Linked DNA regions of Sus scrofa. The protein of the gene in region 2 interacts with the protein of the main gene of each other region in a biochemical or structural test. Links are inferred from orthologs where the notes say so. Each region holds a gene or a part of one and is shown on either strand. Other genes may lie near its edges.

Evidence for each region.
Region 1: the proteins of NOXO1 (region 2) and NOXA1 form a complex in vitro, tested with the Homo sapiens proteins (2 studies listed by IntAct). The link is inferred for Sus scrofa from reciprocal best matches to the Homo sapiens genes NOXO1 and NOXA1.
Region 3: the proteins of NOXO1 (region 2) and CYBA form a complex in vitro, tested with the Homo sapiens proteins (3 studies listed by IntAct). The link is inferred for Sus scrofa from reciprocal best matches to the Homo sapiens genes NOXO1 and CYBA.

What each region holds. Positions count from the first base shown.
Region 1 is NW_018084833.1:549,377-553,117, reverse strand, and holds the start of NOXA1 (NADPH oxidase activator 1), read left to right. Parts: upstream 1-1,366; 5' UTR 1,367-1,593; coding exon 1,594-1,770; intron 1,771-2,460; exon of another isoform or gene 2,461-2,889; intron 2,890-3,741.
Region 2 is NC_010445.4:39,986,558-39,990,259, forward strand, and holds NOXO1 (NADPH oxidase organizer 1), read left to right. Parts: upstream 1-782; 5' UTR 783-1,018; coding exon 1,019-1,084; intron 1,085-1,174; coding exon 1,175-1,255; intron 1,256-1,357; coding exon 1,358-1,433; intron 1,434-1,531; coding exon 1,532-1,709; intron 1,710-1,829; coding exon 1,830-2,011; intron 2,012-2,091; coding exon 2,092-2,205; intron 2,206-2,510; coding exon 2,511-2,628; intron 2,629-2,705; coding exon 2,706-2,973; 3' UTR 2,974-3,083; downstream 3,084-3,702. Other genes in the region: TBL3 (transducin beta-like protein 3), read right to left, coding at 3,212-3,321, 3,399-3,557, 3,645-3,702. UniProt on the Homo sapiens protein: Constitutively potentiates the superoxide-generating activity of NOX1 and NOX3 and is required for the biogenesis of otoconia/otolith, which are crystalline structures of the inner ear involved in the perception of gravity.
Region 3 is NC_010448.4:1,014,220-1,017,960, reverse strand, and holds the start of CYBA (cytochrome b-245 light chain), read right to left. Parts: upstream 2,743-3,741; coding exon 2,685-2,742; intron 1-2,684. UniProt on the Homo sapiens protein: Subunit of NADPH oxidase complexes that is required for the NADPH oxidase activity that generates, in various cell types, superoxide from molecular oxygen utilizing NADPH as an electron donor.

The DNA.
Region 1 (3,741 bases), on a different chromosome or scaffold from region 2:
CTAAGAAGGTGGCAGCAAATAAGACATAAGTAGGGGTGTCTGTGGGACAGGTTGAGGCACCTGTAGCCCCCTCCCCCTGCCGACTTAGAGAAGAGGCTCATGGTGCTGCCCCAGGGCCCTAGGGGCAGGCACGACCTCCCTCTGTCTGCAGCTGCATCAGGCTGGAGAGATGCTTCTCCTTTCTCTGTGGAGGAGCGGGGGCGGGGGGGGACCTCCTGGTGTTCGCGGTGTGAAACCGACTACAGGGAACCCCATGCACACAGGAGCTCTCACACACCGCCACTCCTAGGTCTGCAGACCAGAACGGGAAGACGCTACCTCTGCACTCCTAAAAGCGAGACGGCACTCCTCTGCTACCCAGGGGAAAGGAAGATTGTTCCCCAGCCCGGCAACAGCCCAGCCAATGAGAGGCGCGCGCACAGCCCCGCCCCCGCCGCCCGGCCTCCATTTCCTCCAATGGGATCGCCTTCCGAGCAGCCCCGCCCCACGCCCTCCTTTTTCTCTAAGGAGCCACGAGCGGGACTCGCCTGTCGTTTCCGCTACGGCCCACGTGTCCTGCGCTGCAGTTCTCCGCTGTTCCTGAATAAACCCATTTTGCTGATAAAATAACTGGCCGTTTTAAGGTCAACAAGGGACCTGTGCCCTGCCGGGAGGGCACACAGCAGCTCTGTGCTCGACCTCCAGGGACGAGCCCCGGCCACCCTCAGTGGGGCCCACCTGCCCACAGTCCTACGGGCTGAGAGAAAGATGGGGAGGGCGGGGTCTCCCCCGGGGCAGGACACGGCACCCTGACGGATGACCTCCGCCGCGGGCCTCAGCCTCCGACCTGGGGTCCTAGACAGGCTTTGCCCAGCGCGGGTGAGCGCTGACCCGCCCTTGGGTCCCTCCCGGCCGCGTCCGTGTCCAGGCTGGCCGCGGGCGCGGGAGGCCCCAGACCGCCTGTGACCCGAGCCCCGGCCCAGGACGGGCTCCTCGGGCCCCGCCCCTCGCAGACTCGGCCCGCGCCCCGAGGTCGCTCACCTGAGCCCGCGGGGTCCGCCCGGAACCTTGGCCCGGCGGCGGCAGCGGCGTCAGCAGCGGGCCGGATGGCTTTTCCTAGCGCACCGAGGCCGACGCGGCCGGGAAGCGCGAGAGCGAGGAGCCTCAGGCGATAGTGCGGGGGGGGGGGGGGCTCGCTCGGGGGAGGAGCCAGGCCTCAAGTTGGGGCGGGGCGGGAGGCAATTGGGGCGGGGCTTGACCGGGGGCGTGGCTGTGGGTGGAGCCCGGCCGCTAGTGGGGGGCGGGGCTGACGGAGTGTGGCCGCTCTGCCGCCAGGGGGCGCCGTGGGCCGCAGGAGGCTCGGCACACCTGGCGCCCCCCCCCCCCCCCCCCCCCGCCACCGCCCAAGTTCCTGGCTCCTGGATCAGTTGCCGACCCTCCTGTCCGCCTCGGAGGGTCCCCGCAGCTCCACGCCGATCTCTGGCTCCCCGGGTCCCTGCCTCGCGGACCTCAGCCCCCAGCCACCCCACCAGACCCCTAACGGGACCCCACTGCCGCGCTCCGGCCGGGAAGCGCCGATTTCCGCCGTGCGGCCAGGCTGGTGTCCGCGCCGCCATGCTCTCGCTCGGGGACCTGGTGCGCGACTGGCACCGGGGCGCGCAGGCTGTGGCGCGCGGAGATTGGGGCTGCGCCCTGCGCCTCTTCTCGGGCATTCCAGAGCCGCCTGCCAGGATGAGCTTCAACGTGGGCTGCGTGCACCTGCTGGCGGGGGACCCGGAGGCTGCGCTGCAGGTGAGTCAGGGCGCCTGCCAGCCGTGCCCCCCAGGATTGGTAGCGGCGGCCCCACCTCTGGGAGACGCTGTTCTCCCTCCCTGGGGTTTCAGTGAGAGGTGAGATAAAGACCCAGCTGCAGGGGCGAGTCCAGCACCCACCCATCCCCACCGCCGCCTGCCGATGTCACCCCTCAATGAACACCTAACGCAGGTGGGAGCTGTGTGGGCGGTGGACCCACCTTGAGCTGAGGTCAGGGCCAGGATGGGGTTGCAGGGCTCCCACCCTGCCTCTAGTATGTGGTGACCATGTGCCAGACTCTGCAGGGGTGGGGAAAGACCTCCCTGAACACTGGCTCCAGTGCTCACCTCCTCGGTGCTAGAGTGCTGGAAAGAGGCTCCAGGCCGGACTGGGCTGGGAAGGGGCTTCCGCAGACACCTGCGGTGATGGCCAGGAGTCAAGGTGTGTCTGGTGGGTGCCCACACCCCAGATCTGAGTGCTCGCCTGACTCCCACGCACTCCCCAAAGCCAAGCGCACACAGGCGCTCACCTGCCTTGGCCGAGGGGGTGGCGCAGAGCCACTGCCTGCCCTTCAAGGGCTCCAGCTTCATCACAGTGGTGCGCTCCCACGGGTGCAGGACGAGAAGCCAGCAGCACCCTGCCCACTGCTCTGGTCCTGGGATCACCCCTCAGAAAGAACCAGGCTCCTACCTTGCTCAGCCACTGGTGACAGCCACCGAAGCCACGCGAGTTAGAAGAGACTGAGACGTTACAGGCAGCTGTCGTCATCAGTGTCTCGAAGGCTTCGGCCCTGGGGGAAACTGGGTCACGTGTGCTGGGGACCTGCCCTGTCCGTTTCTCACGTCTGTGTGCAAATCCACCATTGTCTCAGCAGTGATGGCAGGGCTGAAAGGTCTCCAGCCCTGGGGGGTCAGCGGGGAAGGCCCATCCGTCACCACTCACTCTAACGCAAGATTTAGCCAGCGAGAGGGGAGAAGGTTCGCAGCAGAGCGGCTTCAATTCTCCTCCACCTCACAGGAGACGAGTTCCGTCTAAAGACAACACAGCCAAGTAGCAAAAGCATGGGCATGCTGGGTAGAAACACGGAGAATTTTAAAAAGCAGATGGAGGAGTTCCCATTGTGGCTCAGCAGTAACGAACCTGACTGGCACCCATGAGGATGCGGGTTCGATCCCTGGCCTTGCTCAGTGGGTTAACGATCCGGCGTTGCTGTGAGCTGTGGTATAGATCGCAGACGCAGCTCAGATCTGCTGTGGCTGTGGCTGTGGTGGAGGCCGGCAGCTGCAGCTCCGATTGGACCCCTAGCCTGGGAACCTCCATATGCCACGGGTGCGGCCCTAAAAAGACAAAAATAAATAAAAAGCAGATGGAACAGCTACAATGAATGAAGCTGATTGTCTCTAAGGACCTCTGAGGAGGGTGGAGTGTGGCTGGGCTGCAGGGTGTCGGTAGGAACCCCATGGGAGCTTGAGTTGGCTGCCCCGAGTGGCTCAACAAGCCCCCACTTGGCCAGATCTGATAGGGAAGGACCATGGCGCCCTTGTGTTCCTGCATTTAACTTTTTTTTTTTTTGTCTTTTTGCTATTTCTTTGGGCCGCTCCCGCGGCATATGGCACATACGCGTCTGTGACCTACACCACAGCTCATGGCAACGCCGGATCCTTAACCCGCTGAGCAAGGGCAGGGATCGAACCCGCAACCTCATGGTTCCTAGTCGGATTCGTTAACCACTGTGCCACGACGGGAACTCCTCCTGCATTTAACTTGGCTGTGGTATGCTCTCCTCTGGCTTGCGTTTAACTGGTGGCTGCTGTCCTCCCTAGGAACAGACAGTGACATTTCTGGGTCAAAGTTTAAGGAAGATGGTACAGCAGAAAATGATCACGACATTGTAAATCCACTATACGTCAGTAAAACTTCAAAAACGAGACGAAAATTTTGAAAAAGAAAGAGCAGCGCTTTGCACACATA
Region 2 (3,702 bases):
GCCCAGGAACTTTCACATGCTATGGATGTGGCCAAACGGAAACAGAAAACAAAAAACAAACCAGCAGAGTCCTAGTCACCACCTCTCCCGTCCCCCAAGTGCTGGTGCCTGGAGGTGGATGCTCTACATCCCGCCCCAGGTCCGTCCACCGCAGGGGAACTGATGCTCTGAGCCTGTGAAGTCTGTCTTTCCCCAACACGTACAGACAAAACCCCTGACAGTTAATAGCCATTTAACATAAATTCCTCCTCTGTGACTTGGGGACGTTAAGAGACCTTTCCTCCTGGACCTCCCATCATGGCTCAGTGGTTAACGAAGCCGACTACTGTCCATGAGGACATGGATTCATTCCCTGCCTCACTCAATGGATTACGGATCCCGTGTTGCTGTGAGCTGTGGTGTAGGTCGCAGACATGCCTCAGTTCCCGCTGCTGTGGCGGTGGTGCAGGCTGGCAGCTACAGCTGCTATTTGACCTCTAGCCTGGGAACCTCCATACGCTGGGTGCGGCCCTTTAAAGAAGAAAACACAGAGAGACCTTTCCTCTAAAGAGAGGATTACACCAAAGCACTTAAAGCCTTTGGCACCGGGCCACTGGTTCCTGATGACCACTGCAGACAGCTCCCCAGGGAGTTCAAAGCCAGAGCCAAGGGCCCTACGTTGGGTGTGGGAGGGGCCAGGCCTGGCGGCACTTTGATGGCTCTTCCTTCTCCTCCTCCCAAGGCCAGGCTCCTCTGATAGGAGGGCCTCAGGGTGCAGTCCCAGCCCCCCCACTCTGCTTCTCCTCCCACCCAGGCCCTGTGCTCCTGCCCCTCCGCTCCTCAGGTCAGGGGTGCAGTGAGGAAGCTGCAAAGGACCCAGTCGGGCAGGGAAGTGCGGCCAAGACCTGGCAGGGCTGGGGCACCGCTGGGGAATTCCAGTCTTCCGGGTGCCTGGCAGGCGGGGAGGCAGTGGACTGACCCTTGGCCACACCCGACAGGCTCCAGAAGCTGACGACAGAGACCCGGGGCGGCCCCAGTGATGGCAGGCCCGCGGCACCCGGTGTCCGTGAGCGGGGCAGCTCTGGTGCAGACAGAGAGGCTCCAGGTAGGAACCAACGGGACACCTGCCGGCCGCAAGGGGCAGGGAGGGAGTTCCCAGCCCAGTCTATCCAAGACGCCCCCCTTCCTCCACCAGACATTTGCCTTTTCTGTGCACTGGTCGGATGAGAGCGAAGCCTTTGTACGCAGAAGCTGGGACGAGTTCAGGAGACTCCATGTGAGTGGGCTTCTAGCCCTCAAGACCCTGGCAAGGGTCCCCCACCCTCGCAGGGGCACCCAGTGGGGCCTCAGAGACCCACATGCCCATTCTTGCCCTCAGAAGACGCTCAAGGAGATCTTCCCGGTGGAGGCGGGCCTGCTGCGGCGGTCGGACCGCATCCTCCCCAAGCTTCCTGGTCAGGCCAGCGGGGATCCCAGCAGGGGTGGGGGCGGCAGCGGTCTGATGGGGGGCCCTGGGGCGTGGTACCATGCTGTGTCCCCACCCTGCCCCCAGATGCATCGGCGTTGGTGCACCGGGGGCGCACGGGCCGAGGCCTGGCGCGCCTGCGGCTTCTGGAGACCTACTCAAGGGCCCTGCTGGCAGCAGGAGAGCGTGTGTCCCGCAGCCCAGTACTCACTGGCTTCTTTGCGCCACAACCTACAGACCTGGAACCTGCGCTACCACCTGGCAGGTGTCTGACACCCCCCCACCACACCACCGACTCTGCTGGCAGAAGCATTTGGAGGATGGGGGAGGCAAGGTGGAGGGAAAGTCAGTCCCGCAGACCTCACCCACCCTCTGCTCTCGCCAGCCGGGTGATCCTGCCCACCCTGGAAGAGCCCCTACCAGGCCCCACAGGCAGCCTTGCCATCCACAGCCTGGAGGCTCAGAGCCTGCGCTGCCTGCAGCCCTTCAGTACCCAGGACGTGTGGGGTCAGCCGTTCTACGCCGGGGCCCAGGAGGCCCTGGGTGTGCTGCTGCGACACCCCTCAGGTGAGTCTGGGGACACGCCCTTCTGCCCCTGGGGTCCCAGTAGGCCTCAGGATCTGAAGCACCCCGCCCCTTGGGCACAGGCTGGTGGCTGGTTGTCAACGAGGACCAGCAGACGGCATGGTTTCCTTCTCCCTACCTGGAGGAGGGGGCCCCCGGCCCAGGACGAGACGGGGATCGGCGCCTGGGGAGCCACAGTGAGACCAATTCCCCTCCCCACACCCACCACGACCACCACCGGGCCGTGTTTGGCAAGGACGGGCCGCAAGAAGTACCCAAGCCAGGAGAGGGAGGCTGTGGGACAACTGGGTGGTGACAGTGGCCCTGCCGTGTGTGTTCCCCAGAGTGAGCCAGAGACCCAGTGGGTTGAGCGTGGCCCCTGGTGTCAGCAGAGAAACGAACAGGGGAAAGCCTGGAGATGGTGACGTGGCAGGAGACAGCGTGGGGACTGAGGCAGGGCGGGGGCCTCCGGTCCCAGGTAACCACCAATGTCCATTCCCAGGGCCCCAGTTCTGCGCCTCCCGTGCCTACGAGAGCAGCCAAGCTGATGAGCTGTCAGTGCCCGTGGGGGCCCGTGTGCATGTGCTGGAAACCTCGGACCGTGGCTGGTGGCTGTGCAGGTGCCTGTGGCAGGGCAGGGCTCTGGTGGTTCGGCCAGGGGCAGACCCGGTGCTAACCAGCCCCGCCCTCCCCACAGGTTCCAGGGCCGCACCGGTCTTCTTCCTGCTGTGATACTGCAGCCCGACGGGCTGGGCACACTCCTCAGCGGGCCCCGGCTCCACCCGGGGGCAGATGGAGGGGAGGACAGGGAGGGCGAGGCCCGAAGCGCCCCCAAGTCCCCCCAGGCCCAGGCCCTTCCCCCGCCCGTGCCTGCCCACCCACCGCTGAGTGCCATCCGGAGCCGCTGCTGCACCATCACCCGAAAGGCGCTGGGGCAGGACCCAGGGTGTCAGGGACCGCCTTGAGTGCGTGTGACCCTCGTGGGGGGGCTGTGGGAGGAGCAGCTCAGGGTGGGACTCCCTGGCTGGCAGGGACTTGTCCTCTGAGTAAAGCTCTCCTCACTGACCCCCACCCAGTGGCGGTGCTCTGTGGGCCTGTGGGGTCTCAGCCAGGGTTGGGGCTGGGCGGTGGCCCAGGCCCTGGGGTGCGACAAAGCCCAGACAGACACAGGGAGCAGAGATCAAAGTCCATTTTTCTGGGGGTTTAGAGGGCTGGGGGCGCTGCGGGGAGCGTGGGCAGCTTCATGCTGTGCCACAGGAAGTCCAGGAAGGCGGCCGCCTGCAGTGTCCGGCTGAGCCGCTGGAAGTGCCGCTCTGGGGGGGGACAGCAGCTGTCAGGGCCCACGGGTCTGGCGGCCGGGCCCCCGCCCTGATCCAGGCAGCCCACATACCAGTGTAGGGCAGCAGGGCCTCAAGGGAGGCCCGCACGCCATCGTAGGCCAGCAGCTCTTCCGGGGCCTCGTGCCGCAGGAGCATGCCCAGCACAGCCTGGGCTTCGTGGCAGTGCCGTGAATTGGTGTTCCACGTGACACAGAAGCGCAGCAAGGCCTCTGGGGGTGACAGGGACGGTCAGACCTGCCTGCCAGCCACCCCAGGCTCAGCAGGCACCGTCCAGCCCCACCCCGCCCTCCCCAGACCTTTCTGGTCTCGCCGCAGTTGGAGCACTGTGGCTTCCAGCTTCTCGCAAGACTCAGG
Region 3 (3,741 bases), on a different chromosome or scaffold from region 2:
GGGAAGCCTTGCGGCACCGACCGGGGGGAGGGAGCCGAGGACCGCTGCGGGCACGCGGGGGCGGCTCAGCTGTGACCTGGTCGCTTTGAGGCTCCGCTTTGTGCGTTTCCAGCTCCACTGTTGGTTGTGGATTATGTACCTGCCCCGCGATTCTCCTCGCTGGGGGTTCGTGGTCGCTGTCGCTGTCGTCCTGGGCGAGTCTGCCTCTCCCAGCCCTTTACCTGGCTCTGTGGGGGCTGTGCTGCGGGCTGCGGGATCGCGGTTTTTCTCCCCAGTAATTTCGTGGTGGTGGTACCATAAGCCTGGGGCTGGGGGCATGAAGCCCTCCCACGGTGTCGGGCCGGTCCGCGCCACCCGTCCCCAGGATTTCCAGGGGTTCCCTGGGTACAGGTTTCCTGGCATCTAGAAATGTGCTTTGTCCAGGCTCCACGTGGTGGTCTGCTGGGAGCACCAGCTCACTCCTTCGCTTGTCCAGCAGCTTCTACTGTGTCCATCAACCGTTTCTTTACCCTTTCTCCCGCTTTTGGGACATGCCACTTGTTTCCAGTTTGGGGCCGTTTTGAAGAAGCTGACAAAGCTCGAGTTTTTACACCGGAACCAATTTGATAATGACTGTAACACTAGGTTGCAGATAAATCCTTGTTTTATTTGCTTTTTCTCTTCAACAAGAGTTGTTTGTTGCTTCTGCTGCCTTCTGCTGACTAGATCAAACTTTAAGATTCCGCTTCTGGATCCGTGTGTGGACCTTAGAATGTGCAGCTCCAGTCTCACCCGAATTACCCTTGACTATTAATCGTTAACAGTCAGTGGACTGTCCTTCCCTCTGGACCCGGCTTTGCTACTGCTGGACCGCATCCTTTGGCAGTCCTGTCCGGTGACCCCAACTTCCTCATTGGTGGTCCCTGTGCCCCAGGGGGAGGGAGGGGAGCCCCGCACCAAGCCCAGCGCAGGCCTGAGTTTCCAGCGGTTGTGTCTTGTTGGTGACTTTCCCATCTGGACTCCGGTGGCAGATGGCCCATTTCCTTGCAGGGAGCGATCTGGTCTGTTTCTGGTTCAGGCAGCCCTCCCCAGCTCTGGCTTCAGGAGTGCAGCTCAGCTTCATCCCCAGATCCCACTGGGTAAAAGCCCTGACTCCCGGCACCCCCGGCACCTCAGCCGCCTTCACGCCTGCCCGCTGTGCGGTCAGCACCTTTGCGAGCTGTCGGGAGGGAAGGGCCATTTCCTGGGCTTGGGCAGCACCACGTCCACACGTCCCGGGGTGCCGTTTCCTAGGCCTGAGCCTCGTCGTCAACAGGAGAGGCGCCAAGAGGCCAGGGGTGCACGCAGGGCCTCCGGGTCCGGCTGGGACTCAGCGCTGCATTGTTGTGAGGGCATGTTAGGTGGGGGTAGGTGGGGCTAGCTGCTCTGAGAGCAGGTGGATGTGAGCTGAGAGGTGAGCGGGGGAGTCGGCCCTTGAGCTCCCGGCTGAGAGGCTGGAGGGGCGTGCTCAGCCTCCGTGGGGCTCCCTGCAATTACGGGGATTGAGGGCTGCGGGGTGCCTGGGCGCCCAGTTGGTACTGAGTCAGGAGGAAAAGTCCTTTGATGGTAGAGGAAGCTGAGTTGTACTCGTAAGTGGAGCCGCGGCGCGGCTGACCTGTGCTTGGGGGGTGGGGGGCAGCTGAGGTCACAGCTCCAGGCAGAAGTGAGGAGAGAGCCACCCACTGACCCACTGAGACTAGACCAGAGGCGGGCTGGCCTGCCTGGACACAGAGCAGCCTGTGGGGGCACCCCCCAAATGTGACCACCTGTGCTCTCCTCCCCGGGATGGGCCCCAGGTGACCGTGGTGGGCTAGGCCCCCCCTTTCCCGTATTTCCCTCCCCTTCGTCCGCCCACTCCCCCGGGGTGCAGGGCCTTCCTGGGAGGGCAGAGCCCTGAGCTGCTTCCTCTTGCCTCAGACCCTGCCCCTCCTGAGACATTCCAGCATCCCAGTGTGTCCCAGTGCGTCGTCCCAGTACAGGCTGCAGACCTGCTCCCCCACCAGAGGCAGGCCCTGGGAGCTGGGTGGGAGGGGGGCACAGGGGCCGTTTACAGCTGCCAAGTGCAGTGTCCTGAGCAGACTCAGGGCTGGGCCCCAGAGAGAGGGGTGGTCCTGGGCGAGGGAGCCCCCACGCCAGGGTAGGAGGGGCCATGGGGTGCATCAGGCTGGGTTTTCCCAACCCTGCTGGGCAGTGACTCTCCGGAAACCACCGGGGGTTAGGGGGCGGTGGGCGGGGGCAAAACGCCTTTTCTCCGACTGCAACTTCCTCTTTTGGGGGAGCGGAGAAATGGGGAGATTAGAGGATGGGGGTAGGGCACGATGGGTCTGCGGGGGCCTGAGGGCCCCCAAACCCCCTTCCGCAGCCCAAAGCCTTGGCTCTGGTGGCTGCAGCCTGCTCCCAACACGAGCCCCCAGATTCCTGCCCGCCGCGAGCTGCACATCCAGTCTCTGGGCCTCCAGCCGACTTCCTGGATCATCAGTACCCCCCACCCCGAGCCTGCCCCTTTGCTCCTTCCCCGATTCCTCAGCCTGCACCCTGGGGTACCCGGGCCCTGCTCCCTCCCACCCCCCCAACCCCCCGGCCCCCCGCCAGGTTGCCGCCTGCCCGCGCTCCAGGCTCAGCCACCCTCTGCAGCCCCCAGTTGTGGGAGCCCCGGCCCCACTCACTCAGGCCAGACGCCAGCGCCTGCTCGTTGGCCCACATGGCCCACTCGATCTGTCCCATGGCGATGGCACTGCCAGCACCACCAGACGCAGCTCAGACCCTTCCACCCGCTGCCCCAGGGCTCCGCCTGCCTCCAGCTCCGCCCCCAGTTCCCCCAGTTCCGGCTCCGCCCACCACCCAGCCCCAGCCCGGGTTCCCCAGGTGACAGGCCTGGCCAGCAGGCGGGGTCCCAGGGCTGCCTGCGGAACCTAGCCCCCACCCCCTTCACGAGGGCCTGGGCACCAGAAGCTCAGGAAGGGGCCCTGCCCGCCTACCCAGGCCTTCTTCCTCGGCGGGCCCAGAAGCCTGGCCTCGCCAGACTCCTGCAGAGGGAGCAAGGGCTCAGGCCAGGACCCCCAACGCCCCAGCCTCGTGGGGCTCCCTCCCTGGAGCTCAGTGCAGTGCAGGCCCAGCCCCCACCCCACCGGGCCCTGCACTAAGGCAGGGGTGGCCCGGGGCCACCACGGGCAGCGGGCAACCCTTTGCTCAGGGATTAAGTTGAGGGTCTGGGGAGCTTCTGAGAAAGTCCAGGATGCAGGAGGCCCAGGCCCTGGCCTTTTGCTGCCTCCTTCCTCCGCCCCCTGCAGGGTCAAGGTCAGCACTCTCCAGCCAGCAGGTGGCTGACCCTTGGGAGGAGTCAGAGGGCGGTTAGGGCAGTGGGGAGGGACGCGGAAGAGCAGCTCCCTGGGAAGGAGGGCCTGTGGGTTCAGACGGCAGCTTCGGCCCGTCAGCCCTCCTGCCCGCAAAGCCGTGTCCCACCCTCCTTCCTGGGCCCAAACCTTGTCCCCAGCTGGTCAGCCTTAGTGATCACATCTGCCAGGTGTGGCCATGGCTGTGGCTGTGGGGTGAGCAGGGGCGGAAGGTGGGTCCCGTCCCGCGCCCGCTTGGGGTGAGCGCTGCCCCGCAGGGTGACCCAGAGAGAGCAGGCCAGGCAGAGCCAGTTCCACAGCCTTTACTTCACTTCTCGGCACAGAGGATGCTGCACGCGCGGGGCCTGAGCTCAGGGTCCGGCAGGGCACG